Coturnix japonica: one gene and its partner. The protein of the gene in region 2 purifies or fractionates together with the protein of the main gene of each other region. This does not show direct contact. Links are inferred from orthologs where the notes say so. Each region holds a gene or a part of one and is shown on either strand. Other genes may lie near its edges.

Region 1 (10,509 bases), on a different chromosome or scaffold from region 2:
AACGCCTCGTTTAAGCCATGTCATTCAGAAATGCACTGCTTCCAATGAAAGAAGCAACTACAACCACTCTTAATCCTTACATACAATCTAGAACAAGCATATCATCAAGAATATTTATACTCAGAGATGTTTGCACCACACTAATGCTTACCCAAACACCAGTACTAAGATCTAGCACGCCTACCCATTCCTCACTCAACGCACTGAATAAGAATGAAATATGGTGCTCTTATCTCACTTATTTTTTCATGTTAGCACTCCTTTCCTAAGTATAAAACATTTTTTAAGGTTTTAAAAAAGCCAGAAAGTCATGGGCAGGTGCTGCATAAAGGGCTGCTTGCAATATGAGTCATCCCTCTTATCCTGCAGAATTTATAGGCAGACAGAAACAGCAGACTGGGCTTAAAGCACGAGCAACACACCACGCGTTTCTGATTAAGTCTGATATTACAGACTTAATAAGTATATCTGTTTGCTCCCTCATGTATGGAATTGTAAAATAACATCGATAAGAAGTGCTGCTGTTACCCAATAAGTTTTGCCCGACAAAACAAGGGCTGGCAGTAAGTGATGCAGAATAGACCGCTGCAGTCTAAAAAACATTTGAAATTGTTTACCTTTAGCTGGCCCAGAGGTGTGATGCCATACAAGAGACTAAGGTTCAGGATCAGACTAATGACTCTCACGTCCTGGGCCAGATGAGGCTGGACACATAGCTGAGGTGACACAGCAAGGAAGAGATGGCCAGCCCAACCCCTCACAGCATCACTTCCTGGTTAATCCATGGAGTGACAATGACACTGATCTGCCTCATCCTGCCATTTAATGGCAAGGCACTGCATTGGTGGCTCCTAGAAATGGACAGGAGTGATTGGGAATAAAAGGGGGGGAAGAAAGGGGGCTATGATGAAGAAACGAGTAAAACTCAGAATCTCTCACCATCTCATTGTCATACCTTACACTGTAATAGCATAACTACATGGGGAAGGTGAGAACTAAAACAAAAATAAAGTGGTTAATGAGAAGGAAATGTGTTGACCCTCTTCATTTATGATGTTATCCAAACATTACTTTTCCCCTAAAATCAAAACAAAAGCTAGTTCCCCACACGAACTACTGCAGGCAGGTATTTTAGAAACTATTTAGTCCCTCACAACCCTGTAGCAAGAAACAAAGCTCATCGATTTTGATAATACTGGACACCCTGGCACCCCTATCAGGAACACATTCATATTTTGTTACGCATTTAGAGCTTTTTATGTTTAAATAAAATGTTTATTACTCACCAAACAATGCCCTGTGCCCCCGATCCTATGGGCTTCAATTGCTGGTAACGTTTTAGTACAGTGAATGTTGAATCTGCAACTTGAACACTGTAAAACTGACTATCGCATTTACTGTCACTCATGGTGTAGTGTCATGTAGTTTTCTCTCTCAAGGACCTGGTACAGGCTTCAAGATCTTAAAGAAAAAAGAAAACAAATGTACAATTTGAGTAATTCCAGGCAGACAAGATGGAAGATAGATTATGCATATTTTAACACATATGAATTTTTTAATAGCATACTATTAGATAAGCATTATTTCAGCTTCACTTACAACTACTGCTAATGAAAAACCCCTGCAGATGAGACAACAAATAACCACACCTTTCCCAGCTGTAAGCAAACATCTCATTCCAAGCCCCAACACAAAAAGCAGCTAAGTAAACAATTGTGAAAGCAAACAACACCCTCAGGCAACAACTCTCTCCTCCTCGTAGGAGACTCCAGCACTCAGCCAACTTCCGTAACCCTGAGTTACTGCTATCACCACCGCACTCCTTCCTCCCGTCTTTAATACACATTGACATCCATGCCATCAGTTAGTGTACTTCAAGTCCTACAAGAATTAAGGGAGTTGGTACTACAGCTTGAAAGACCCAGCCACACTGTAACAGTTAGTTTTATCCCAAATGCATTACGATGATTGAGGACTGCTTTGTTTGAATGTTAACAATCCCCTTTAATGAAGGCAAAAACAAACAGCAGGCAAAAAGCAATTCCATTCAGGAAGTTACACTGCAGTTTGCCTCTCATCTGCCTTGCTCTCAAAGCTGCAACTGGACTTTCTGAGAGTCCAGAGGGCAGCAAGGAGCAAGGGGAAAGGACATCTCGTTAACTGGGTTACTTATGAGAAACAGACTAGAGGAGGAAGTGCACAAAAGACCAAAGAAAGGAGGAATGAAATAATGTATGAACACAATGGATGTGGTGATGAGCACAAAGATTCTGGTTAGACATTTTAGAAGATATGAAGGAAAGGGAAGAAGGAGAAACAAAGCCTGCTTTGCAAAGGTAGAAGAGGTGTGGTGCTCGACAAGATTCCCTAAGGAAGTTATGGGCTCTCCCTCTCTAGATGTTGGTGCTACACTAAAATCTGTCTGTAATTAATTAGATGTAGGTAATTACACCTGAGACTGAGGTAGTGGACACACATAATTTCACATGCAACATAATAGGTAATGCCATTACAGCCCAGACTAAACTACAAAGCCAAGAGTTCCCCGAAACAGGAAATGAAAGCAGATCACCTCCCCTATAAGCAGCTGGCCTAACCACCCAGCTGTGCTACATCACTTGTAGCTAAAGAGAGAGCAGTTATTCTCTCCCTCTTCACCAGTCTACAGAACAGTGGAGAGCCCATGCAAAGCAGAAGAGCCTCGACAGCAACTCAGAAGCACATCCTGGAAGGGCACAGGGCTACATGAGCAGCTTCTAGCAGCTTCAGGAATTAGAATATGGGCCTCTCTCAAGTAAATACTCAATCTGGTCATCTCTAGCTGCTATTAGACAGTAAGGAATGAACCCACTCTTCCTGTCTTTTATCATTCCAGAGCTATAGACACTGATGCACCACAGTTTTTGATTAACAACCCCCGATCAGCCCTGGTATTTTCTGTATATCTCCAAATGCTGGAACACAGACACAGCTGGAAAGACAAGACTAAGGAAAAGGCCAAGATTCTCTCTCTGAAAAGGGCTTAAAGAGGGGGAAAACAGTGCAGATGTGGATTACTCTGGAAATCAAATTAGGCCTGTTAGTTATGTGGGATCTATGCTGGTACTCCTTTATGGGTTAATGAAGATCATTGAAAGAAAGAAGCAGAGGGAAAAGGAAGTGATCCTGATCCAAAGAAACCTCACTGTAAGAAATCTCATCTGTACAAAGTCATCACTTGGAAAAACAGTTTAAAGACCAGGATAAGCTCTTTAGATAAGACCCAAAGAGGGATTTGTGAATCACAACACACAAGCTCTATGTATTCTGACATCCTCTGGAGCTCACTGTGCTGAGCACCAAGCCCCTCTCTGAGCCCTATGCTATGGGCTGCACGCTGCTTGGTTAGGACTCAGGTTACTTCAGATATACAAACTAATGCAAAACTAAATGCCACGAGACTGTAAGTATTGACATAATTTAAGTCTCAGTGTCTATTTGGGGGCTAAACCCACTGAATAAGGTTGCCCATCAACAGGGAAAAGTACATCTGACAAGTAAGTTTATTAAACCCCAACTGTTACACTGCTACCCGAGACCATCTGATTCATTGCTCCCCTTAGCAGGTACATAATGCATCCCACACATCTCCCATGCAGGAATCCTTTGAGAAGTTGGCATTACTTCCATGTAGGAAATGCACATTTTCATTCATGGCTTCCGAGCTGCAGCAGACAGGAGCAGTGCCAGACATGGGAGTCATTCATTCATGGGACAGTCAGCAAACATACTTCTGCATATTGATAAGGGCACTCAATTACGGTGCTTCAAGATAATTTTCCTATTTTTGAGCACGCATGAGAGGCAGATAAATTGGGTGCAGGTTTCTGTGTCTGTTTTAATAATGGGCTCATACAACCAGAAAAACTAAAAAGCACAAAGCTGATTTTACTCTATGCATAGAGATCACAAGCGCTTACAAAAGTGGTGTTCAGCCTCAGTTCATGCAGAGTAAAACAATCAAAAAGAGGAAAACAGACACACCAAACCTACCCCCAATGAATGTATCAGCTGTCATACAGAACTGCAGCAAGGAAGTATTTAGGGGTTGGAAGCAACCGCACTACAGTGTATGTACACACTGCACCAGTCACCTCTGCAAAAGGCACCTATTAAAATGGCAACTTATTATTAACCAGATCCATTCCCTGGATATTTTCCACGTCAAAAGCTTCTGAAGCAAACAGGTTGGAACAGCTAGGAACATTCCCTGCGCTGTTTTGGATACAGAAATGTTATCACGATGAACATCAAGAAACTGAACTTCAGGCTAAACTGCACTGGAGACAGAAAGAACCCACGGAGCACACACACACACACGGAGTATGAAAAGATAGGGAAACCACACTGAATATTCACCTTTACAAACGTACTCTGCAAATTAACCAATACTGGCTTTATCCGCTCAGTTCTCTGAGAAGCACCTCTGTCTTTAACCGGCCGAAGCTATTAGTGAGCAGATCACACCGACAGCCACCAGCCCCGCTGTCATTTAGCTGCTAAACAAACGCCGAAAGCAAATACTGGCTGCACCTCGGCCGGGAGACGGAGGGGAAAAGTTCAAACGTGTGTGTGCCGTGCAATTATTGCGCTGTGAAATCACGGAGCAGCCGTAGAGCCCAGCGAGCTCACGGGATTCCTTCACTCGTGCGGTTTCCGTCGCGGAGCAGCACAGCGCGGCCCCCGCCCCGCCAGCACCGAGCGCTGCCAGGGCCGGCACGGGGCGCTGAGGGCAGGGGCAGCGATGCGGCACGGGAAGGGCGAGGGGCACTGCACGGCCGACAAGAAGGAAGGGGCCCCCAGCTCGGCCCCTCCGCCTCCTTCCCCGCTCCGCAGGGCCGGGCCCGGGTCAGCGACACGCGGGGAAGCCCGGCCCAACCCCGGCTGCGCCTCGGCGGGCGGGGCCCGCGGGAAGAGCCAGGGAGTCCTCTCGGCACAGGGCCGGGGGGCTCGGCTCAGATCGGGGAGCTCCGGCTCCGGCCCCGCCGCCCGCACCGCCCTCCTCGCGGCCTCCCTCACCGTCTCTCTCCCGGTCAGGCTCCAGCGGGACGGGGCGCGGCGCTCGCGAGCCGCGCAGCCACCTCCGCCGCCGCCTGCAGCTCCTCCGGCGCGCAGGGCCGCCACAGCCACAATGGCCTCCCGGTGCTCCGCGCAGGCCGCGCCAGGCCTCAGCGCGCTGACGGACAGCAACTCTGACCAATCGCGAGCCCATACCGCGATGCTCAGCCAATGGCAGGCTGGAGGCGGGACAGAGCTGGCGCTATATAAGGCAGGGCAGCGGGGAAGGACCGCAGTGGGAGCGGGCAGGCTCAACCAATCCAGGCGCGGTCTCGGCCCTCCGGCGTGATGTCATCACCACACGTCAGCTTGTCACCGCGCTTCTGACGTCACCACAGGGCAGCGGTGGCACCAAAGTGGGACTGTAGGTGGGACTGTCTCTCCAGCACAGCAAAACAGGAGCATTTATTCAAATACACCCATAGTGCTCTTTACCAAACATACGTGCCACACGTGTGTTTTCTTATATGGTGATGTTCAGTTCTTGACATAACACAACAGCCCTCCTCCTTCTGGTGTCAGAGCATTGGTGCATACAAATGACTAAGGGGAAGGAAAAGAAAAGCCCCAAGACAAGAAGAATCTGTATAATATTTTCTTTAATTGCATATTAATTACATTGTACACACTTCAATCATAAGCACCTTTTGGAAGGTACCCTTATTTTGGCAGTTCCCTTATTTAATTGCCCTGTACAAAGCAGGCAATGAGATACAAAACGCTGCTGGGCCTTCTCATGGTGTTACAGCTGAAAGCAGGAGGAGGAGCTAAAACACAGCTGAGAATTGACAGCCACAGGAACTCTTTGCAAAAGGTGGTGAAATACAAACCAGGTGTAAACCATAGGAGAGGGGGGTAGGAAGATGGGAGGAAGAGAAGAACCTATTTCCAGTTTGAGGATGTAGTAGAAAAACCCCTATAAAACTGTACACAAACTTGCCATGAGCGCTGAGCATGTCAGCTCATTATTACCAATGCTATCGATAAGCAACATACTAAAAAAATAACTTAAGAAAAGCTATACAGTTGTACTTATAAATACTTTATCTTTAAAACTAGTTAAGTAGTGTAGGCTAAAAAAAAAACGTTCACAGTTACTCTGAAGAGAGCTGTATATATATATATATTGCACAGTAGAAAAGTTCATTCAGTATATCATGTGTAAACAATGATTTTTATCTTATCCTTTGGCAATTTTGGGACTTAGAAACATTTGCTGTGAGCAAAAGCACTTGGGTAACAAGGCACATTGGAAGCTTTTAAAGCTGCAAGGTAAATCCTTCTGACACCTGCCAGTTATCACTCTCATTCCCTTTGAAAAACGTGTACCTATTGATTCAGAACAACACATTTCCACAAGCATAACAGAGTCTGGTAACAAAAATATCCACTGTTCTTGGCTGTTATTCTACAGTAACCGATTTGGCCAGATTCCTTGGAAAATCCACCTAGAATGAAAAGACAGGCTTTCAGTGCGTGACAGAACACAACTGGCATTCTTGCTTTTGTGCTGTTTTGGTTTGGTGTTTTTTGCTTATTTAGAAAAGGATTGCTACTGAGTTCTGCTTTATTCTGGACTCGCTAATGCACACAAAAGAGTACGGATCTGTACATAACTCACTGTTGAATGCATCCTTACTTGCAAAAACCTCCCAACAAATCTGAATATATTGTTTTGCATAGGATGCCTTTCCAATGGGGTCATCATTACCAAACTGACACACCTAGACAGAGTCAACAAACTAAGCCATAAAAAGTAATAAACTGTCCTCTGTTAGAGTGCAATGTCACACTTCAATGCTTAGCTTCCGGAATAATATTATCTGCATTCTTCACAAATCAAACTAAGCAAACAATCTTTACATTTTTTAGAACCACCTTCCACACCAATTCAAGAAAAGGCTGAAGAATTGGCAGTGAAATGCCACCTCTACTACTACACTAAGTACCAGTCGCAGCAATTATTCTAGTTCTTTGTTAGAAATGCCGTATAACCTTATATCTGCCTTAACATTGGTAGGAGGAAGTGCAAAACTGCTCTAACTGGAATGCTATACATAGAAAGCACTTACATCATATCCTCTGAGAACAGCCAGGTGGAATGAAAGCAACTGGAGAGGAATAACACTCAAGATTCCTTGAAGGCAATCAACCGTATGAGGCAGCTCAATGGTTTTGTAGGCAAATTTTGAGCTTTCCGTGTCTTCCTTAGAACACAGGATGATTGGACGACCCTGAAAATAAAGTTCTATAGTTAAGAGCTGGCTTAGAGCTGCTCTTATATATTAGTTCACAGTCTATCTGTAGTGTATTTGAAAAATAACAAAGATAGCTAACCAGGATAATGTTAGACCTGCATAATGGTTTTTGCCATTCACAGAAAACATTCAAGTCTCAAGCAACAATCAGTACAGCTTTAACATTATTCTCTTTGATTCCAGACCACAAAACATCTACATATGACCACTTATCTCTACTGGTGTTAAACTGTGAGCTATGATGCTAAAATAGCACCTTAATCATAACTTTTTAAGTAGAAAGAAATGCCATTACCATCCTGCCTCTGAAACGTATTCAGCAAAAATCTAGTGTGCACAATTTCCTTCCCTACAACACTGCATTACTTTACAGCTTACCTGTCGAGCTGTGACCTGTTGCAGAGCATTCTGGCACTTGGTGAAGCAAGGATCCTTCATTATGACCATGATAACCGGCATTTGTTTATCTATTAGGGCTAGTGGACCATGTTTAAGCTCACCAGCTAAGATACCTTCAGAGTGCATATAGGTGATTTCTTTTATTTTCTAATGAAACAAATGCAAATATCAGAAAGTTAGAAGTAAATTAGACTAGAAATACAAGCTGCAAGCAGCAAAACATCCATCAATCAAATGCAGTTGCTATTTTCAAGGCTAGAACAGACACTCCTGTACACTGAGATCTCCAGCAGGCTGCCGGTAGAAATGGAGCTTACTCTTGCTCATGCACACACATTTGCAGAGAATTAAATGGACTAATCAAGAGGAGTTTTTAAGAGCTTAACATCTAGCACCACATTTTTAACTTCTATGAGAGATGGATACAGCTCCATTACATGAGGATATTTGTAATTAATTTAGCAGTTTCCTGCATGAACATCTTGCCTGAACGCCAGCATACTGAATGCAGTGTTTTAGGAGGACATTTTCAAACAGGCCAACATTTTAAGTCATATTAAGTTGTAGGGTTTTTTAATTTTCTAAATACACTCCTTAAGTGTATTTAAGAATGACACCAAATTCACCTTATGTATGTGTTCAGTGCAATAGGATTAAACATTCTAGTTATACATGGCAGCAGTTTTAGAACAGTAGAATTAAAATGTAAATAAATATGAGAAAAATTGCTGCAGAAACAAAAGCTCATTTCAATTAGTATCCAAACTTTGAGAGATTCCTACCAGAGCTCCTTCCAGACAAGTGGCATAATTATATCCACGACCCATAACCAGCAGTGACCTTTGTTTGTATAGTTCAAGAGCCAAGTCATGTATCTTCTCATCCAAGGACAAGACTTCTTTAATCATCTCTATTGGAGCACATAAAAAGCACATATAGAAATCTCCATCAACTGGAAAAAAATAGTATTTCCTAGCTTTTTGTAGTATGATACTCTAATGGCTTTTTATAACAAGCCATTAGCATAATTCAGGCATTAACTTTCTATCTGTACAATTTTGACAGTGCTTTAAACATGCTTCATCCAGCCTTACATAAAGTAACAAGTTTAAGATGACTATTAGTTTAAGCAGAGACTATGCATCCCATTTGAAATACTAAAGGAAGTTCCAAACATCTGTTTTAAAGTCAGTTTGGATTAGTTTTGTTTCATCTATACCGGTTTAAAGTGAAAGGCATTATAAATTTTAGATTACGTGTGTAGGAGATCAAGGAATAATTCTCAAACAAAGCTCTCCTACTGGAATTCTCATCTTCCTGCCAAGTTTTTTGGATGTCTATTTGTAAAACTGGCAAGTAGTGTAGAAGCTAATAGCCTATTCTTCTTACATTACCTACTTTTCAAGGAGAAAGAAAGAGTGAAACAAATATTTATAAGTTTTTTCTTGAGTAATATTTTATATTTCTATATTATCCATCAAACAAGATACCAAAGTAAGTATCAATATACCTGGCAATGATTTTAGTCCACTAATGATTTCCCTTCTTCTTTTCTGCAAAGAAATTCTGTCTTCAGACATCATGAGGCCAAACATCACAAGAGACACAAACTGGCTGGTATAAGCCTGCAGAAAAAACAGAGCATTTAGCATGAAGTGAATTAGTACGATCTCAATCTGAAGTGCTACAATTAAAACTATAATTGGATTACATAGTGGTAAAGTATGAAAATCAAACACCAAACAGCTGTTACCTTTGTGCTTGCCACACCTATCTCAGGTCCTGCATTGATATGCACACCACAGTCAGTCTCTCTGGATATTGAGCTTCCAACTGTGTTTGTGATGCCAACTGTTAGAGCACGGCGTTCTTTGCAATACCTCAAAGCCATAAGTGTATCTGCAGTTTCACCTGGAAAACATTCACAACTTGACTTAAAGTTCACATGGGATAGCAACATCTGAAAAATACTACAGAAGAAATTATTGTGTTCTGAATAACTGTATCCCTGCTCAAAACAAACATTTCAGCACTCACTTATTATCTACGTATTTGAATCATCCTCTTTTGCAACATTCAGAAAGTAATAACACTGTTTTTCATTTCTCTTTAGTTTGCACTCAGTAAAACAGCAGCAGCTCACCTGACTGACTTATAAAAAAGCAGACGTCATCTCTGAACACAGGTGTGTTCCTGTCCAAGAAGTCACTAGCAAGTTCTACCATCACGGGTAATTCAGTTAATTCTTCCAGTACTTGCCGAGTCTGTAATGAAGCAACACATGATATTTGTTAATATCACCACCCATAAATACTTGACATGGAAAGAGTGAGAAAGAATCTGAACTGATTCCTACTACAAAAATTGACAGTTCGATCTCACTGAGGTGAAAAAAAGTTACTTTTCTAGCATGGTAGACAACAGCGCTGGAGTTTTAATAAAGAATATGGCACAAAGGCAGATTAAGCAAATGCTGTAACCCCTCAACAAAAAGCAAAGTTTGTGGTACAAAAGGAAAAGCAGATGAAGATCTGTTGTACTAATCTTCCAACAACTAGGAGGTATAGATACATTACAGCTAAGGCTGAACGTACAGCTACTGCAGCATGATAACTGGTCCCACAGCCAATAATGATCAGTCTTCGGCATCTTCTGATTTCTTTTAAATGGTCCTTCAGGCCCCCCAGCAGAACTGTGATTAAACAAAAGAAAAAGTATGTATTGTATTTTCCAGTTAATATACTTAAAATCATAC
Region 2 (9,779 bases):
CTCACAAGTTCTCTGGAATTCACGCGCTTGCTTTTTTTGGGTGTTTTTTTTTTTTGTTGTTGTTTGTTTTGGTTTGTTTTGAAGTGCCGTTGGCAGCTTGATTAGAGGGAGAGACTAGATTAGATTGAGTGTATCAGAGTGGAAGCTGTTCTTTGTGAACTATGTTTACTTTCACTTTTTTGTTGTTTGTTTAAAGTTTAATCTTTTGCGGCAGGGCTGATGCCAAATGCCGTGTGGGTGATGGGGGAAGAAGCCCTGCAGTGGGTGGTTTGCAGACAGGTGAGAAGGACTGGAAAGGGAGACCTAACTCACACATTGGTAGCCACGCAAATACAAAAGTCTTAAGTTATTTGTATCTGTGTTCTCCCACCCCCAGTTCTCCAAAATCAGTGTTGATTCTTGAGGGGGTACTTACGTTGCGAAAGGATGGTAAATGAGGATTCTGTTCTGAAGAGCTGAATATGGTTCCAGTTATGCTTGTTTGGTGTTTTTCCCCCGTTATTTAACAGCAGAAATGTACAAAAACAATCTTAGCATCCTTGTATTTTCCTTGTGCTCTGACTGAACTGAGGTGCCAAGTGGGCTTGATGCCTCAGTCTCCTTCCAGTGTTTTTTTTATGAAAATAAATAAAAACCCCATAGTTTTCTTGAAGTCAAAGGAGCTAGTTCTGATGTTGTGTAGGTGACTGTGGTCTGATAGGTCCCCACTAGTTTTGAGAGAGGAGAATTGTCCTTCTCATATCTGCTTCCTGTTGCGTGGACCAAATATATTGTCTTCAACCACAGCACAACCCTAGATCTCTTCTCAGCAGTGAGCATGAACCTGGCTGTGTTGAGGGAAGGATGTCCATCTTGGATAACAGGAGCACTCCTGCCATACTTGAGTTAGCCCCATTGCTCCAAGAGGTCTGGGAAGTACTGTTCTCAGAAGTGTCCTGAGCATTACGCATCATGTAGGCCTACCCCTGCTTGAGGTAAAAGCAGAGGGAGGCTGAGGAAGTACTGCAGGAGAAATATGGTGGGAGAGCATAAAGGAAGTCCCTTTCCATGTCATCTGGTGGAGGTAGGACTGGTGGAGCTCTGCTTGGGTTATAGCCCAGATTCAAGGCCGTACATTTCTGCAGGCCATGGGTTGATATTGTGAAGACGTGATCCCAATGGTTGTCCACATCCTGAGAATGGCTTTGGCCATGACTGGCAGAGAGCTCTGCTTCAACCTGTAAAGCTGCTTTTCCCTTGGGGAAGGAAGTGAGCTGTGATAGATTTGCTGCTGAAAGCGCACCCAAGCATGCAGAGAGGATGCATAACAGCACGACCCAGATGAGCTCATGCTTGCTAGCGGGTGCCTTAGCACACCCTGCATATGCAGTGGGAGGGGGGGGCTGGGTGACACAGGGGTGACACCTGGGGTGACACAGGGCTGGGCACCCCCAACCCGCAGCACACCTCTGTTTGTACGGGCTCATGTCGCGTTTGCTTAACCTTGAGGCATCCTGCACTTTGAGTCGACTTGACACAAAGTCATCTGTTCATTAATAACACAGAAGCAGTTTAATTGTTGTCTTAGTGGAAAAATACATGAGACTGTCATCAGCTGTTGCTTCTGGCAATGCTTTCTGCAGTAATGTAAATAAATGAGGTCACAGGTTTAAAGGAACAGGCTGTACTCGCACAAATTCAGAGCGTCATCTTAAACGGATATGCACCAATTGCCTGAATGTCTTATATTGTGGTTCTGTGCTCATGCCAGAAATGTTAACTGCTTAAAGGTGTAACATTTTGACCTTAAACACAGACATGCTCAGCCGTAGGGCTTGGTTTGTTGTGTAGGCCCTGTCGCTGTCACACAGAGCAGAGCTCAGCGCTGCCCTCCGCTCCCTGTGAGGAGCTTCAGCCGCCATCAGGCCTCCATCAGCTCCTTTGCTCTGCGCTGAGCAAACCCAGCAGCCTCAGCTCTCCTCACACACCTTGTCCTCCAGGCCCTTCTCCATCTTTCTAGGCCTCCCTTGGACAACTCTCCAACATATCTTTTTCTGATAATTCACAGCCCTATGGGATTTCTGCTTTTGTTGCATGTGAATTTTGGTTTAGTGGTTTTGTTATGGTTGGGTTTTTTTTTTTGTTTTGTTTTGTTTTCTTTAGGTGGCTTTGTGGTATTGTAATTGAGGATGAGTGGATCCAAAAATCCATCTGAATAGCTTTCAAAGCTATATAAAAGGTCCGTTTGTCTGTGGGGATCACGTGTTCTGTCTAAATGTGGATCCTGCATCTTTAATCTGTCATGTAAAACAGAATGCGTGCAGATAAGATGTGTCGGTTTTGCTTTCTGTAAAGATGGCTGTTCCTATGCAAAACCAATCACCTTGTTTCTACTGTACGTTTTGTGTATGCTTTGAATTATGCTCACCTTTTCACGATGGCAAATGACAGCTGCTGTTTGGCATAACTTCTGTGTCATTTGCCCCTTCTGGATTTGCTCTGAGCTCTGGTTCCTGCCCAGCTGCTCACCTGGCCTCCAGAGCTGAGAATCCGCCTGCAGCTGCTGCGCGGCAGGGGTTCGGGAGGCATCATGCGAAATGTTTGCTCAGGCCTTTTGCAACCACCTGCCCACAGACAAGTATGAATAGCTGGAATGTATACAGTGCTGATTTGAAGCTTCCTCAAAGTTTTGATGTCTCAGACAATCCCTAGCCTGTGGTCATTTACTAACTGTTCTGGCAGGACAGAGCGGTGGAATATTTCACGCAGCTCATGCAGTGATAACTGTGAACATCTCTGGCCCTTCACATCAGTGGTGAGCAGAAGCACTGCCCGCTGGTGCGTTCCACTAGATATTAGGACAGGCTGTCTGCTACAGAGGTCCTGCTTCCTTCATTCCTTTCCTTATAGAAAAAGCTCTGAATATCCAAGTGTGCTGGGCATCCTTGCATGGCTGTTGCTTTGTTTGGGTGTGGGTAGGTTCAGGCTCCCTGACAACCCGCTCAGCAGCTGTTTTGGAGCAGCGTGTGGGATGTTCTCTGTATCTGTGTGAGGGCTGTCAAGCTGGCTGCCTGGTTCAGGTTTTTTACCATGTTCTGGTTATTAAAGCTATGTGATATCTTCAAAGATGGAGAAGACTGGTTACATGCACAGCATTCTGTAATGGTGAATAGTGGTAGTTGGCCTGTCTTCTAGCACTTTGCTTAGTCAGCGTGTTGCGCCTGAGAATTTGAATGTCCTAGTGAAGGTGGGCACACAGCTGCATGTGAGCCCTATGGCTGGAGCTCAGCACTACCGTGCATGCTGCTGGTCCTTCCCAGTGGATGTATTGCCTGTCTGCTGTGGCTGCAGTGGTGAAGGCTTTCTGTATTGCAGTTAGCAGCTGAAGATCTGCTTTTAAAACTCAGTTTACTTGTGTACTGGTGAGAGGCCATATGTTTCTTTGGACTGCTTTTTGGGGATCCCTATGTGTTCTGGGTGTTGTCTGAACAATTATTTAAGCTGAATGGATTGCTTGCCTATAAAGAAGCAGAGTAAGTGTCAGAGTAGGGTTGGGTTGACTGGAATGCGGTTAGGGTTCAGCCTTTAGCCTAAGCTGTTGGTTTGGGTGAGATGTCAGATGGCATCATCATGGTGACCCTGGTCTTCTCTGTTGTTCTTGAGCAGCCTGTGAAGACTTTGCAGCCTCCATAGAGGCCAGGTGGTTTAGTTAGCTGGAGAGCTCAGAGTTCTGTCCTTGTCTTTTCTTCTGCCCTGTTCCCTGTTACAACAGCTTTGTGAACAGAGATCTTTAAGGCAGATCTGTTTGTGCTTTATCCTGCAAACTGCAGAAACAGCTGAAGATCAGCAGGACGCAGGACTGCCTGTATATTGCAAGCCTTCAGAGGAAGGTTTGGGATTTAAAATTCACTCCATCGTACATGTGAGGTCTAACTGTGCTTGTTTCCCTCTTGTTGGCCAATTGCTGGCATATAGATAGTGTGCATGGGTTGTAGCTGGGCATCTCCCTTCTCAAAGCTGGCTGTGGCCTGGTGAGGGGCACTAATGCTGTCAGGCTCCAAGATGGGCCCTAGGTGAGTGCTGGCACCGAGCGGTTGGAGCTGTGGTGCTCAAGAGTTGGATGTCTTTCTGTCTGAACCAAAGCCTGTGTGACAGCGTGGCTTTAAAGTCTTCCTTTCGCTAGATCATTGTGAAAAAGCACAGAAAAGGCAAATAACCTTTTAGAAGGAGGGGGGAAAAAATAGCAGTATGGTGACAGCAGCATTTGTTTTGGCTGGAGTAACTCTTTCTAGTAATTTACATGTAGTTTTCCCCTTCCTGGAATTTCTTGGCTTTCATTTAGCAAAGTGCAGTTGAGCCCAAACACTTGGCTGGTCTCGGCACAACGCGTGGCCCCACGTACCCTGCTCCAACAGAAACCCACATGTCTGTGGGCAGCAGGGGGGCATGGCTGCCCTTCTCCTCCTGCCCCTCTCTTCCCAGGCGTGGAGGCGAGCCACCTGTTAACATTACATCATTGGCTCCCAAGAACGCCTTCGTACCAAAGGCCTGAAACAAAGTGGTTCTTCTTGTATTGTTTGCGCTCAAAGAGCTGATGTCATGCCAGCTGATGTCATTGTGTGCTTTGTGTAATCGCTATGGAAACTGGGCAGGTGGGGAGCCCGGGGCTGATGTAATTGCCGAATGAGGTGTAGAAAGAAGCTCTGCTTTTCTTCCTAGCTCTGCAGCCACTCTCCTAGAGGGGGGGAGGTGGGAGGGGAGAAAAAAAAGGGGAAATTGCTGCTTGAAAAAGCCAGCAGTGTGACTTGCAGTAGATCCAAGGGGAGCACAAGCCAAGAAGTGACTTCTCCCTTCCCCCTCGGACCCATTTCCCACCCATATGAATGTCCTAAAAATAACCCTCTAGATATTTTCAGGCAGCTAGGGCAGAAAAAGGAGAGCTGTTTGCCCCATGTTAGGCAAGCACCTTGGTGGTTGGTACGTTTCAAGGTGCAGCATTGCTTTGTCCAACTGCACGGGAATGTGCTGTTGTCAGGAGTAAAGGCTGCAGCTGTCCCTTGTCCCAAGCACTGCAGGTGCCCTGTGGAGATCTCTAACCACAATATCTGCTTGGTCTCTCTCCCCAGGGGGACTCAGCGGTTTCAAGCAGAACCATGAAAACCTCTGCGATAACTCCCTCCAGCTGCAAGAGTGCCCGGAGGGGGGAGGTGGCGGTGCGTCCGCAGTGCCCCCCACACTACCTCAGTCCATCCCCACCACGCCGGACATCGAGAATGCCGAACTCACCCCCATCCTGCCTTTCCTCTTCCTCGGAAATGAGCATGATGCTCAGGACTTGGAGAAAATGCAGAGGATGAACATAGGCTATGTAATCAACGTGACCACCCACCTGCCCCTGTACCATTACGAAAAAGGCATGTTCAACTACAAGCGGCTCCCAGCCACTGACAGCAACAAGCAGAATCTCAGGCAGTATTTTGAAGAGGCTTTTGAGTTCATTGGTAATTATGCTTGACTGGAACTACTTTCTCCCCCCCCTCCCCTCACCTATTACAAGAATCTGGAATGAATTTTGTGCTTTGCTAACTACCCCAAAGGCTGTGTAAGGTCACATTTACTTTTGTTTAGATTGTCAGAAATACTGAGCACCTCGTGTTTCTGCTGATTCTCATTTCTGGCACATCTGACTAAGTAGCCCAGAGGTACAATTTTATCCATTGATAGCAGTGCCTACCTCTAACCCTCCAAATTTGGGTCTTTTCCACCCCTGCTTCTCCCAGCTGAGATTTTTGTCATTCCCTCTTTATGATTCCTTTGCATTTCCTAGTCTTCGCAGTGGCTTCTAGCCAAGTTTTTGTAGTTACTATTTTTAATGACAGCTGAGTCTTCCCTAACTCAGTTTTATGAGAGAACTGACAAACTTTCACACTCCACTTATTTTATCATTAGATTTGTAACTTCAGTGTATGTGTGGGCGAGTGGATCGCAGTGAAAACTATTATTAATAAGCTTCCAATTCCTGTAGGCTGTGAGACAGTTCACTGTGAAAATACAGCTCTATCTGAAACAGGGGAGGTAGCTCAGGAAATGATATTACCTGTGTCAGTCTAAACCTCGCTGTGATTCACACAGCATATACCTCATCCATTTTGATCATCGAGGCTCTGCATTCAGCTCTGGTCGTCTGTACTCAGCCCAGACAACCTTCTTAAGTGGAGCTGGTCATTGAGGATGTTAAGTAATACTGGAAGCTTGTGAGGACCTTTCCTTGCTCTTCTCAATGTATCTGTGGGCAGCTTCCTGCAGTGCACACGCACAGCTCAGCCTTTTGCAGCACTGTGGATGTCTGCTGGTGTTTATCCAGTAGCAGTTTGTGTGTTCAGATGTTTCCTGAAACATCCTGGTGTTGGGAAGGAACCATGGCCATGAATTATTATTTTTTTCCCTCTTGCTGAAGCTGGGCTAATCTTATTATCAATAGTTCAGGTTTGATAGTGGAAGCCAAGATGACAACAGCGTACCTATTTACCACATCACAGCTTAGGTCCTTAGCTAACCCCATGGACTTATTGAAGGGGACTCGGAGCTGTCTTCCTTGATTCCTGCTCTCAAAAATAGACTGTGTTTATGGCTCCTGGATGAGAGCATGGGTGCACAGCTCCTCTGGAACTTCAGCCTGCTTGTGCTGGCTCTGTGGGGTGCTCTTGGGCTCACTGAGGATCCAGCCCTGCTTGTGAAGCTGGGGCCTAAGGTCGGAAACCCAGGCTCAGCATATTCTGATCCCATCTGCCTTGGAGCTGGGTCTCACTGCTTGGAAGCAGGCAGCTCTTGGGTGCTGCTAGTGCTGTCTGTGTTCTGGTTAGCAGAGGATCATTGTGCTGACACATACAATCTGTAGTCACATTATTTCAGTGAAGGTGAGTAAGCAGAACACTGCTTATACCATAGTTTTGATGGCAGGCAGCATTAGAACTCAAATAGAACTCAATGTTAGAGCTCAACAACTCTTAAGTTAACTCTTAAGTTATAGACTGTATGTTTTGGGTTTTTTTTTAATTGGTTTGATGACCTTACTAAGGGCAGAGAAAGCAGCCTTGTTCTGAAAGCGTTTAGAAAGTATTTTGAAACCCATTTTGCTTTCCCCTTCGATAATTATAGCTTGAGGGGCTAGCTTTGTTTTTAATAAACAAATATTTCTCCACTGAGGTTTTTCTCCTTAGCAAATTCAGCCAGTCAAAGTTTTCCCTCCCTCAGGGTAAGCTTTTTTAATTTCATTTGAGACAATAGGGAAATATTTAAACAGTAGGTCATTGGCAGGTATCTATTTAAATAAATTAGAAAATGGACGAAAGTTTAGTTAAGATTAAGGGCATAGGAAGTGAAGCTCAAAAAGTGTGTTACGCTATGTTTGGAGTTTTGAGTTTCTTTAAATACTGGCTGATAGAAATATAGAATTCAGCTTCATTTAAGTTTTCATAGTGCAGGTGGGACTTGTGGAATAAGGTGCACTTTATTTTTGGTGGGTTTGGGTTCACACCAAAAGCAGTAAGCTAAATGCATGTTCTCCAGATTAATGGAAGAAAGCAATATACTGAAGGGTGATATCTCGAAAGCTTTATCTTTCATTTTCACATAAGCTGTGGGAAACAAAGATGGAATGGCAGTGACTTCCTCCTCTTTCCTGGCTTCTGTACTTCCAGGAGCTTTTTTTCTCTCTTGCATCTCTTTGTGCAGATGATGTGTTTTGGTGGAGAGCACTTGTACATCTGACTGCACATGTGTGTTGTCCTTTTCCTCCTTCCCCTCCTTGTTCTTTCCTTGCTGCTCCTAGGGAGATGTTGGGGAGAGGTAGCATTTGGCAGAATGAGGTGCTCCAAATGTTAAGGGGCAAAGATGACAGGAGCCTTTTCAGACAACAAAAGCTGATTAAAGTTGGGCTGTGAGGCAAAGATCTAGTTGAACCAGAGCTTGCTGTGCAGACTGGCCTAATGTTTCACATGAAGTAGCTTTGACTCCCTACAGGAGGGTAGACTAGGGAGGAAGAGGGAGGAAATGCTGCTGTGCTTCAAGCCAAATAGAGGAACTTTTAACATAAAGTTACTTCTGATTGCACTGAGCTTTGCTAATTTACTAAATAGCAGAGATCTTACTTTCTTCTGTTCTTGTTTTCAGAGGAAGCCCATCAGTGTGGAAAAGGTCTTCTCATTCACTGCCAGGCCGGAGTGTCCCGATCCGCCACCATAGTTATTGCATACTTGATGAAGCACACGCGCATGACCATGACGGATGCCTATAAATTTGTAAAAGGCAAACGACCAATCATTTCCCCTAACCTTAACTTTATGGGGCAGTTACTGGAGTTTGAGGAAGACCTAAACAATGGCGTCACACCCCGAATCCTCACACCAAAGCTGATCGGCGTAGAAACTGTTGTGTGATGGTGAAGCTGCAAAGAAGGGGTTCAATGAAGGGGGTTAGCCCGTTTTTCACCTGATTTAGGGCAGTCAGGGGTGGGCTGTGGGGTTTTTTTGTTTGTTTGTTTTTTTAGCTTTTGGGCGGGGAGGGGGTTGCAGCAAACGTTTTTGTGAACAAAAACCTTTTTTTGTAAGGAAAGGTTTTTAAAAGAGATCCAAGAACTTGGCCATGTTTGGGATGCGGTTGTGATTTCCTTCCTGGGCACTGATAGAGCAGAGAAGCTTTGGAGCGAGAGGAGTAATTTTTAAAATCCAAAAGCCAAGAAGAAATATTGGGCTTTTTTTTTTGTTGTTGTTTGTTTGTTTGTTGGCTGTTGTTTTTTTCCTCCTCTTCCTCTCCGGCTCCTCATAGAGTTTATGGCTAAGTAGTCTGTGCAGGTTCATAGACTGAAGAAACCTAAGCTGAAGACAAAACACAAACAGCCAAAACAAAGCAGAAAAAAAACTTGCTGAAGCATGAGGGCCTTCGTTCTGCAAAGGCATTGCTACAGATCACCTGGCAAATCACTCACTGACACAAAGGAGATCAGAGCAGCTTAAAAAGTCTGCAGGCACTTTTCACACTCCTGACTCAAACTAAAAAATGAAAAGAAAATGAGTTTATTCGGCGTGTTTCATGTTCCAGTTCTATTTTTCTATCTTGGGGTGTAAGGTTTTAACAGAAAGGGACTTGGATCATTCTATGCCATATGCCTTCACTGGCTTCTTGTGCAATAATAATTTGGGATTTATTTTAAGTGTTCAATCCAATTAGAGTTGGCTGCCCACTAATAATAAGATAATTTTTAAAGTCTAATAGTGCAATGGCAGCTGGCTTGGTTCAGAAGGGATAGGTGAAAGTAATTATTTTGTTCCTTTATATGATTTTGATCCTAGTTACAGTGCCATAAACCTTGTTACATATGTATATCAGAATGTACAAAAATCGAGAACGAGCAAAGTTTATTTAAAAATATTTTTCGCACAAAATCTTGGTGTGTTTCAGTTGTCTATGTAAAAGAAATTTGATTATAAAAGCAAAAAATCCTTTGGGAAATGTGTGTCCTTTTATTTCTTTAGCAGTTTTCCATTTGCTTTCTGTCGGATGGGCTTTTGGTTGTGCTTGATTCTTTTTTGGGGGGGGGAGGGATTTGTTTTTGTTTGCTTTTTCTTTTGCAGTGCACAATGCCCATTGACAAAGCTGGTATCTTTTGTTTGACATCTCTTCTTCAGTGTCCTTTTCCTGTCCTCTGCTGGTGGAACGTGTTTTCTGTATTCCTTTCTGTACTCTCACATCCCTTGCTTTCTGTAGCCATGTTTTTAATCTCCTGGAAATACACCATACTT

The links.
Region 1: the proteins of DUSP10 (region 2) and MAPK9 purify together in Homo sapiens (affinity purification with mass spectrometry; 3 studies listed by BioGRID and IntAct, with this or other methods). This does not show direct contact. The link is inferred for Coturnix japonica from reciprocal best matches to the Homo sapiens genes DUSP10 and MAPK9.

The regions. Positions count from the first base shown.
Region 1 is NC_029528.1:4,155,581-4,166,089, forward strand, and holds the start of MAPK9 (mitogen-activated protein kinase 9), read right to left. Parts: upstream 5,173-10,509; 5' UTR 5,059-5,172; intron 4,824-5,058; exon of another isoform or gene 4,399-4,823; intron 1,462-4,398; 5' UTR 1,409-1,461; coding exon 1,287-1,408; intron 747-1,286; exon of another isoform or gene 618-746; intron 1-617. Other genes in the region: GFPT2 (glutamine--fructose-6-phosphate aminotransferase [isomerizing] 2), read right to left, coding at 6,501-6,545, 7,170-7,331, 7,734-7,901, 8,537-8,664, 9,265-9,379, 9,508-9,665, 9,898-10,018, 10,349-10,446. UniProt on the Homo sapiens protein: Serine/threonine-protein kinase involved in various processes such as cell proliferation, differentiation, migration, transformation and programmed cell death.
Region 2 is NC_029518.1:15,953,865-15,963,643, forward strand, and holds part of DUSP10 (dual specificity protein phosphatase 10), read left to right. Parts: intron 1-5,105; coding exon 5,106-5,480; intron 5,481-8,151; coding exon 8,152-8,417; 3' UTR 8,418-9,779. UniProt on the Homo sapiens protein: Protein phosphatase involved in the inactivation of MAP kinases. Has a specificity for the MAPK11/MAPK12/MAPK13/MAPK14 subfamily. It preferably dephosphorylates p38.